2 linked regions of the Sus scrofa genome follow. The protein of the gene in region 2 purifies or fractionates together with the protein of the main gene of each other region. This does not show direct contact. Links are inferred from orthologs where the notes say so. Each region holds a gene or a part of one and is shown on either strand. Other genes may lie near its edges.

Region 1 (4,992 bases), on a different chromosome or scaffold from region 2:
TCCTACATGACCAAAACGAGGAAGGAATCAGCTCGTTGGGAATGTATTACCATCATGTATCTATTTGCTGGTTTTCTCCCTACTCTTTTTTCACATTACCCCTGTGAAATGCTATACCTGTCATACTGGTCTCCGTGTGCAGGATGAGCCTTGTAATGACCTAATCCGAGTTTCAAAAACTAAGAACTTGTCAGAAGCCAAGTGTCATGTCAAAACGATCCAATCAACTTAACCACAAAATAATCGTTTCATACAATGTTCAGTAAAGACAGCCATGACAGCAAATATGATCAACTCAGGACTTTCAGAGAAACCCTGATTCTTTTTTGGTGAGTCCAAGGCATGTAGAAGTTCCCCAGGGCAGTGACCAAACCCCCACCACAGCAGCCACTGGAGCCCCTGCAGTGACAACACGGGACCTTTAATCTGCTATTCCACAGGGGAACTCCAACCTTGATTCTTTTCTGTAAAAACGGGATTAGATGGTGCATACTGAACAGTTTAATCCAGGTAGCCTTTGAAACAGTGGGAGAACACAGGAAACACTTCACTGTTTATACTGAAAGTACCTTCTGTGGAGGTAGCAATATACAGAACTTCCCTACCTGCCCCAGTCCATGACAGTGCTCTGGATGTAGTGCTGCTGTCACAAACAGCAAGTGCAGCGACAAATTGAGATGATCAAATTTAACCTAAAAAACATCACCTTGTCCAGTTCCAAGCTCCTACTGAAGTTTTAAAATCTTTAATAGTTCATCTCATAGCATTAAAAAATATATATATGCTTTAGCCTTCGAGGTTTGTTGATCTACAAAATTAACATTTTAATTTCAAGGTAAGAAACGTGCTTATTAAGTTATTGCTGGATAAGATAGTTATTCAAAACAAAAGTTGTTCCCATCATAATCAAGTGAATTTAATACACAACTAGTTTGGGATATGACCTTTATTGAGCTTATCCACCGAAGTGGAAATAATGTCTGTACAAAACCAAATGTTTGTTACTATAACTTCTGCATCACAATTAAAATCCAAACAGTTTTTTAAAAACAGTCAACTCAATCAAAACCCACTACTTCAGAATCAATAGCTTCTTTGAAGCCACAGTAACACTTAAATATGGTTAAGACTCGAATGCAGAAATTTGGTTGGTTGGAAAGCTAATTAAACTTCCAACTTGCTCAAATAGAATTACAAAAAGGCAAAATTGTGTTTTTCACAGAGATACAGTCCATTGGAATCACCAACACTGGACAGCTGTTAGAGTATTTAGAGTCCTGAGATAATAAGGAATCCAGGCATCCTTTAGACAGTCTTCTGTTGTCCTTTCTTCCCAATGAGAGATTTGTGGATGTGTGGAATGACACCTAGGGGAGGAAAGGGATACTTTTAAATATACATTATTTTGAAAATTAACACAGGACTTCAAAACCATGACAGTTTAACGTTCAACTTCGAAGAAGTCTTTAAATGTGAGGCCAGAGTATGCAGAAGTAAAAATTCACTAAGTTATATACAGGAATCAATTTTCATGATGCAACCATACTACAGATCACTGAAAATAACACTAAGTGTCCTCTTCTAGTGGGGGAAAAAAGTAAAGAATTATCTAAAGAAATTAAAAAATTTTTAGTATTTACATACCACCACCAGCGATTGTAGCCTTGATGAGAGAATCCAATTCTTCATCTCCACGAATAGCAAGTTGCAAGTGACGAGGAGTAATACGCTTTACCTTCAAGTCTTTTGATGCATTTCCTGCCAATTCAAGTACCTAGAAGACAGAATCTAATCAATCTCCTGCCAACTTTCCTTAGGATCAAGATCCAGAAGAATCAAACCTTCGTGAACGTGTATCTACCAACTGCCGTCTCCCCCCACTACCTGAATGGCAAGATATGCAAAAGCTATAAAGGGGACACGCAATTTTATTTCCTAAAGCAGTCAACTCAAGCTCAGGAGGAACCCAAAATGAACACCAGCCCCCTCTAGCGTTGTCAGAAGCTTCTCACCGCGTTCAGAGCCTGGGAGTTTTCTTGCATCACTTTCCTCCTTCCCTCTCACCGCCTCCCCCCACCACCTTTTCCAGATTACAGGCGTACACCCATTTACCTCTGCGGTGAGGTACTCCAGGATGGCTGCGCTGTACACAGCGGCAGTCGCGCCCACACGTCCATGGCTGGTCGTCCTAGATTTCAGGTGTCGATGAATACGGCCCACCGGAAACTTCATTTTTCGCATACACAAACACAAATGCACAAAGATAGAGGAGCCAAAAATGGTCAAATTATACGCGCGCCAAAGCAAGGGGCACGGAGGCTGATGCAGCAACGCGCCCTAGCATCGCCACACGTGATCGCCCCCCCTTCCCCAATATTTATTGTATCGGTAAACCAAGTCCCGACACCATCACCACGCAAAGACCAAAAGCTCATCTAGTGCAATGATAAACAGAGAAAAAGGAGAGAAAAACGCCGCGATTCCCAGACAGCAGAAACCCCCACTGACCTGCAAACCGGCTCTCTGCGAGCGGGAAACCGCCTTTGTCTTGGCCTTTCCGGAGTCCTTCCCAGCCTTACCGCCAGCCTGCGGCGCGCACACGCCCGCGAGCGAAGAAGGAACGCAGAATACAGGATTACCAAGGCGGCGCGCCCCTCCCCCACCGCGGGGCGGCCCGGGCGCGAGCGGGGCCCGGTGCCCAGCCGGGGTCTCCGGCCCGCCGCGCGCCGCAAGGGCGACCCCGCCCGCCTGCCCCCCGCTGCGCGCCCGCCGCGGCCGCGCGCTTCAGGCCGCCCGCTCACCGCCCTCCGGCTCCCAGCGGCGCTGCGCGCGCCACCCAACCGTCGCCGCCCGCCGCGAGATCGGAGGCTGCTCCGCTCGCCGCCGACAAAACACCTCCCCCCGCTCTTCCACATCCTCTCTCCGCGCGTTCCCAACCGTCACCGCTTCACCCCCATCTCCGTGTGTAACGGGTTTTTCTCCTGCCGGCAAAAACCCGCGTAGTCTTCGAGCGCCTCCGCGAAGTTTACCATTTCGAATTCTGCTGAAGCTCAAACAAGCAAGGCAGAGAAAGGACTAGTCAGTCACCAAGCGAGATCCCGCCGCCTACTCCTCCGTCGCACCGCGATTCAAACTGCGCTGTCTCCCGCCTTCCCCGCTCCCTTTATACTGCAGAATGTTCCCTCATCCGGGAACTCGGATTGCTCATCCCACCAATGGCTGCCACCCGCCCTCGGGCCGCGTCCTTGAAGTCTCAGCCAATGAGCAAGCGAAGAAAAGGGCGGAGGGGCGGGCGCTTTGCAGCTCGAGCTGTTATTGGGGCATGAGAAGGAGGTGGGGGAGAACGGAGGGATGGGAACCCGGGAGAAGAAGGGCACAGCGGCGGGAGGGAAGAAACAGAGCGAGCTACGCTGCTTGAGCAGGGCACCCGCCGGCTTAGTCACGTGCCTGGAGGGAGGAGCTGAGAGGCTCAGGGGAGGGGCACGCAGTAGCTGCCCCCTATTCCACCTTTGCCTCCTTGCTCGGTTCCAGAGACCTCGGAAAGCGGGGACTAGCACTCCCTCCTTCCTGCCCTGCCCTCCCTCCGCCTCCGCCCCGTTAGAACACCTGGCGGGCAGAGACCCGCCTGTCCGCAGCCTTCTTCCGGAGCACGGGGTACCTTCACCGACCCCCCTGCATTCCCGTTGACACCTCCGGTCTGACAGGTGGCGCGAAGGCGTCCAGTGAAAGGCGCCCCGACTCCTTCGCTAACCATAGTCTGGGTAGTGATTTCGCGTTTGTTCCTCCTAGGCAAGTGCCCAGCCACCGATTCATCACGACCCTCTGCTCCCACTTTTTCAGCTGTATCTCCTTCCTCTTCTTTTCTCAGGACTTTTTGAACCCCCTACCTCCCCAACCCCAACAGAACAGTTTCATGGAAAAGACGGTGAAGCAAAGTCACCTCGCTGGTCATAAAAGACCTTTTGGTCTACCCACTGAAGGCTTGGGCTGAGGCGGTATTCTTTAATCAAATCATATTTTTCTAAAGACTACACGTCTGTGGGTTGTACCTATAGCCTGGCTTCTAAAGTTGATTTAGTGAAACATGAAGGCTATTATGTGTCAACTCTTCTATGCTAAACATTTTGCTACTTGACAAATGTTCGGTAAATGTCCTCATATGATTCACAGGCAGTTACAGATGGTCCATGTAATCAAATGCAAATGATGGGCTTAAAAAAATAGTACTGTACACACAGTACTATCATAATGCCAGCTACTTAATTTTCCAACTAATAGATTAATAGCACCTCTGTACACGTCCAGCTGCTTGGAGACAGTAGTGATCCAAATCTTTCATACTTGGAGTTTTAACAGTAATTACGTTATAAACATAATTCAGTATTTCTGACATTAAGAAAATTTGAAATATATACTCTTTAGTACTGTAGTTTGGGTTTCAATCTGAAAGTTTTATCAAGTTTTTTTGGAAATTTGCTGTTAATTTTAAAATTAAAAAATTGGGAGTTCCTGTTGTGGCTTGGCGCTAAAGAACCCAGCTAGTATCCACGAGGACGCGAGTTCAATTCCCGGCCTCACTCAGTGAGTTAAGGATCCTTGGTTGCCCTGAGCTGTGGACTAGATGGCATGCGTGGCTGGGATCCTGCATGGCTGTGACTGTGGTGTAGGCTGGCAGCTGCATCTCTGATTCCACCCCTAACTTGGGAACTTCTGTATGCCCTGAGTGCAGCCCTAAAAGGCAAAAAAGGGAAAAAAAATTAGGGTCTTATATTATCCTTTCATTATCTATTATTGATCTTTAGGATTTGCTGGGTAGAGGGAGGGACTCTGTGTTGATATTGTTTTCCCAAATAATATTTCACCTATATTAGTATTTTATAAGTCATCCCTCCACCTAAATCGTAAATCCACATCCATAATAATCCCTACCTTACATTTTTAACATAAATGTTTTTGATTGATTGATTAATTGATATTGCTTTTTAGGGCTGC
Region 2 (4,364 bases):
GCCCTTGACAAACAGGCACCATATTCAGCGAGACCGGCCAGCCTTAGCAGCACCCACTGTGCCCCCTCCCCAGTTGGGTGTGCAGCCTTGGGAGGGCATCTGCAATTGCAGTGAGTGTGTCGTCCCTCTCCTGTCATCTGGAGGCAGCTGTAATCACCAAACTGGAGTCACAACTGAGAGGACCCTAGGAAGTCCCCTTATCCACACCTTCACTTTGCATTTGGGAAACCGTGGTCCAGATGGCAAAGGCTGGTTCTGGGAAAACCCAACAAGGCAGAACCCTGATCTCAGTTCTAAAGGGATCATTAGAGTCAGTGTCTTTTCAAAAACCTAATGGAAACTCTATGTTTACCCTTGGATGGTAACGACACTCAAGCCAATGACTCGAGTGGGTCTGTGCCTGCAGTGTGGAGCACGCGTGACCCCATGGCCACATTCTCCCACACTGTTTGGCAGCTCTGGTTGTCCATCATGTAGATCTTTTATTCCTGGAGAATGCAGAAACTTTTAAATAGTAAACATACTATATTGGGGTAGGTAAATGAGAAAATAGTGGAAGTGGTCCTTGTGGGGTGAACTTCACAGTAAATAAATATTTGACCCATGAGTAAGAAGACTTGGGAAAGGGAAGTGATTTTCAGTCACAGGTGGAGCCAGCGCCCATTCCCCTGCCACGTGACTCAGAAATGACCATGTGATGTTTTTTTGAAAAGTCAGTGAAACAATGAGGTTTTCTGGAGTTCCCGTCATGGCGCAGTGGTTAACGAATCCGACTAGGATCCATGAGGTTGCGGGTTCGGTCCCTGCCCTTGCTCAGTGGGTTAACGATACAGCGTTGCCGTGAGCTGTGCTGTAGGTCGCAGACTCGGCTTGGATCCTGCTTTGCTGTGGCTCTGGCGTAGGCTGGCAGCTACAGCTCCGATTAGACCCCTAGCCTGGGAACCTCCATATGCCGCAGGAGTGGCCCAAAGAAATAGCAAAAAGACAAAAAAAACAAAACAAAACAATGAGGTTTTCTTTATAAAAACTTCAGGGCTAGATCTCTTTTCATCAAGTAAGTCATATGTTGAGTATTTGGGACAGGCAAACTGAAGCCATTGTTTGGGGTGGTAATGATTTATATAGCAATCTAGTGATTGCTGATAAGTGCTTTTTAAACTCTTTGGAAAATTCTTTGGCCTTTCTGGTTTGAGTTTTGTTACTAAACAAAGCTACAAGGGCCATGGGGAAAATTATCCTGCATCTGTCTAAAATTAAAGGCCCTTTTTGGTCTTTATTACATCGTAAAAATATCAAAGTCATGTTCTTAAGATAAAAGAAAGTCAGAGGGCCTTACATTTCTGTAAAGTGCCAGAGATCCTTAGTCCAAAATCAGCATCATCCCTGCTTCTCTGTGAGCTTCGGGTCCTTTCTGAACTTGGTTGGGTGGTGGGGATGCAGATGTTATTCCCCTGCCAGAGGGGCAGATGTGGGCCAGATCAGAACTTATGTTGAGTTGAGCCCTTGGTGTCAGCAGGATATGTTTTTACTACAGCTGGAAGCCTGGCGCCTGGGGGCCAATTTGCAGTCTGTTTGTCAGTGGTCCAACAGAGCCTCTGCACCCGGATCGTCCCTTTTGGCCCCTGTGCGACCCTTATAATGAGCCTTCTTGCTTTACTCATAGGTGGGAAACTACCTCCGTATGTTCCGAGGTTCTCTGTACAAGAGATACCCCTCGCTCTGGAGGCGACTAGCCACTGTGGAAGAGAGGAAGAAAATAGTTGCATCGTCACATGGTAAAAAAACAAAACCTAACACTAAGGGTGCGTCTTCACGAGGGTTTGTAAACCTGTTTCAAAACCACTCGCTTCTATCATGAAGATAAAACGTTTTCACTCCAGCGTGTCTTGGGGCGGGATCCTGGGGTGGGCCCGGGTCAGGTGGTCTCTGCCGAGGCTGGGAGCAGAGGGCGTGGGGTGCAGGGGGCGGGGCCGGGAGGTGAAGACACGTTGGTCTCAAAACGTTTTAGGAATGCTGTGATGCTCTGCCGCCGCCTCTCCGCGGTGCGTCGCCAGCCATCGTCACTCTCCATGCGGCCTGAGCGGGAGCGGCAGGGGCCGCCCCAGCCCCCGCCGCCCTCCGGGCTTTCACCGCTTCGCTTCCCAATGCACGTCCGTCCGTAGTAGCGTAGTACCTTGTTCTGCCAGCCGTTCCCCTAGCGCGCGCGTGTGCATGTTGCCTGAGAGCCTGGGGCGCTGGGGCTTCTAGCCGGCGGCGAAGGGTGCTCCCCAGGCCTCTGGTGGGGGGCAAAGCTGCTGTGCGCGTACCCCCGCCCCTTGGAGTCCCCGCATGCCTGTGTGCTTTCCCCGTGAGTGAGTGTGCTTTGCAGTCTGTCCCGTCGGGCTGTGTCTTGTTTGTAGGCGCTGCTGTGGTCTTTTCCACAGCAAAATAGCGTTCTTTTAATGCAGGAGCCGGAGCTGCTTCCCCCCCCCCCACCCCCGCTGCTATAACATTTCACTTGCGCTTTAAAAAGTCTCCCTTTGTCCTCTCCTGCCCCAATGGAGTTCCAATCACCCCTGCAGTGAGCCCCCAGCTGTGCTCCCCTCTGCCAGCCTCTTTCCAAGGAAATCTTGGCCACCCTTCTGCCTCGTGTTTTTGAGACACCTTCCCTGTAACCGATTTATTCCTCCAGGCCACTCTCTCAGCCAGGCTCCATAGGAGAGCTGGGGGTCCAGTGGCCTAGAACTGGCTGCTTCCCAGATGGCTGGCATTGACTGGACCAGGGAATTCCTGTTTGGTGTGAGGCAGTTCTTTCACTCTCTGGGCTCTTGCTTTAAAAGAACTGTGTTTTTCATCTCTCATTCCATCTCCACCTTGCTTGTGTCCTGGACTGCAGTGGTGTCAGACCTCTTCCCACTGGTGGTGTCGCTCTGGAGCCTTCCATGGCCCCGAGGGGCCCCGCTGGCGGAGCCGCACTGTAGCTGCCGCTGCCTGTGCACTTCTCTGTGCCTGGGGCCAGTGCTTCCGGGACACCTTAGTCCACGTCCATCCTAAGGGAGTGCTGACTCGCGAAAGCATGCTAGGGTCCAGACTGCCCTTTTGGAAGAGGCCAGCATCGGCAGTAGTGAGGTTGACGCCTGCTTGTCCCACCTCCTGCACGTGAGGACCTCGGTGTGCTGCATCTCCTGGCTGTTACTGCCCGCTGCCTGCCAGCAGGGTGACCACAGCTGCGTCTCTGGTTGCAGATCATGGATACACAACCCTGGCCACCAGCGTGACTCTGTTAAAAGCCTCCGAGGTGGAAGAGATCCTGGACGGCAACGATGAGAAGTACAAGGCCGTGTCTATCAGCACCGAGCCCCCAACCTACCTCAGGTATCACACCCCCAGCCGGAGCCCACTCTCAAAACACCCGTGGGAATTTTTCTCATAGGCTGCAACCACCATATTTTTTAGTGCTTTACCCACTGTGCTTACATATCGTCTTAGGGTTTCCAAGTTTTCTCTGTCTTTGGAGTTTCTAAGAACTGTAAACCAAGTCTTAGGGTCTGAAGAGTCATTGAGAATTTGGGACCCACCTGTCAGAGAAATTAGTGACCCAGGTAAACTCACAAAATAAATAATAGGTTTTGAATCTATAAACTTAGATCCCTTGAGGAATTCCTTGGTGGCTCAGCAGGTTGAGGACCCAGCATTGTCACTGCTGTAGCACATGTTCAATTCCTGGCCCAGGAACTGCTGCATGCAGGGGGCATGGCCAAAAGAAAAACCAAAAAAAAAAAAAAAAAAACCAAAAAAAACCCCAAAGCTTAGATCCTTGAAAGAGTATTTACAGTAACGATTATTAAATAGGCAAGTAATTGGGAAGTTACTACATTGTAGAAAGAGGTTTTTCATCCAGATTTATAAGAAAAACTTGGATGTCCCAATTGATAAATTAGAGTTCCCGTCGTGGCGCAGTGGTTAACGAACCCGACTAGGAACCATGAGGTTGCGGGTTCGATCCCTGCCCTTGCTCAGTGGGTTAACGATCCAGCGTTGCCGTGAGCTGTGGTGTAGGTCGCAGACGCGGCTCTGATCCAGCGTTGCTGTGGCTCTGGCGTAGGCCAGCGGCTATAGCTCCGATTCGACCCCTAGCCTGGGAACCTCCATATGCCGCAGGAGCGGCCCAAGAAAATGGCAAAAGACAAAAAAAAAAACCCCCAAAAAACAAAACAAAACAAAAAACCCAAAACCAATTGATAAATTGATAAAAGGGACCACACTGAAGTACATAGACAGGGATAAACAAACACAGGGAACGATGTTTGTTGTAGTGTGTAATTTTATTTTATTTTACTTTTGCTTTTTAGGGCCGCACCCTCAGCAGATGGAAGTTCCCGGGC

Evidence for each region. Proteins that work in one complex are often made in the same cells at the same time.
Region 1: the proteins of SMARCB1 (region 2) and H2AFZ purify together in Homo sapiens (affinity purification with mass spectrometry; 3 studies listed by BioGRID and IntAct, with this or other methods). This does not show direct contact. The link is inferred for Sus scrofa from reciprocal best matches to the Homo sapiens genes SMARCB1 and H2AZ1.

The regions. Positions count from the first base shown.
Region 1 is NC_010450.4:120,561,977-120,566,968, reverse strand, and holds H2AFZ (histone H2A.Z), read right to left. Parts: upstream 3,218-4,992; 5' UTR 3,033-3,217; coding exon 3,030-3,032; intron 2,587-3,029; coding exon 2,509-2,586; intron 2,227-2,508; coding exon 2,113-2,226; intron 1,775-2,112; coding exon 1,645-1,774; intron 1,368-1,644; coding exon 1,306-1,367; 3' UTR 946-1,305; downstream 1-945. UniProt on the Homo sapiens protein: Variant histone H2A which replaces conventional H2A in a subset of nucleosomes. Nucleosomes wrap and compact DNA into chromatin, limiting DNA accessibility to the cellular machineries which require DNA as a template.
Region 2 is NC_010456.5:49,899,171-49,903,534, reverse strand, and holds part of SMARCB1 (SWI/SNF-related matrix-associated actin-dependent regulator of chromatin subfamily B member 1), read left to right. Parts: intron 1-1,663; coding exon 1,664-1,802; intron 1,803-3,224; coding exon 3,225-3,354; intron 3,355-4,364.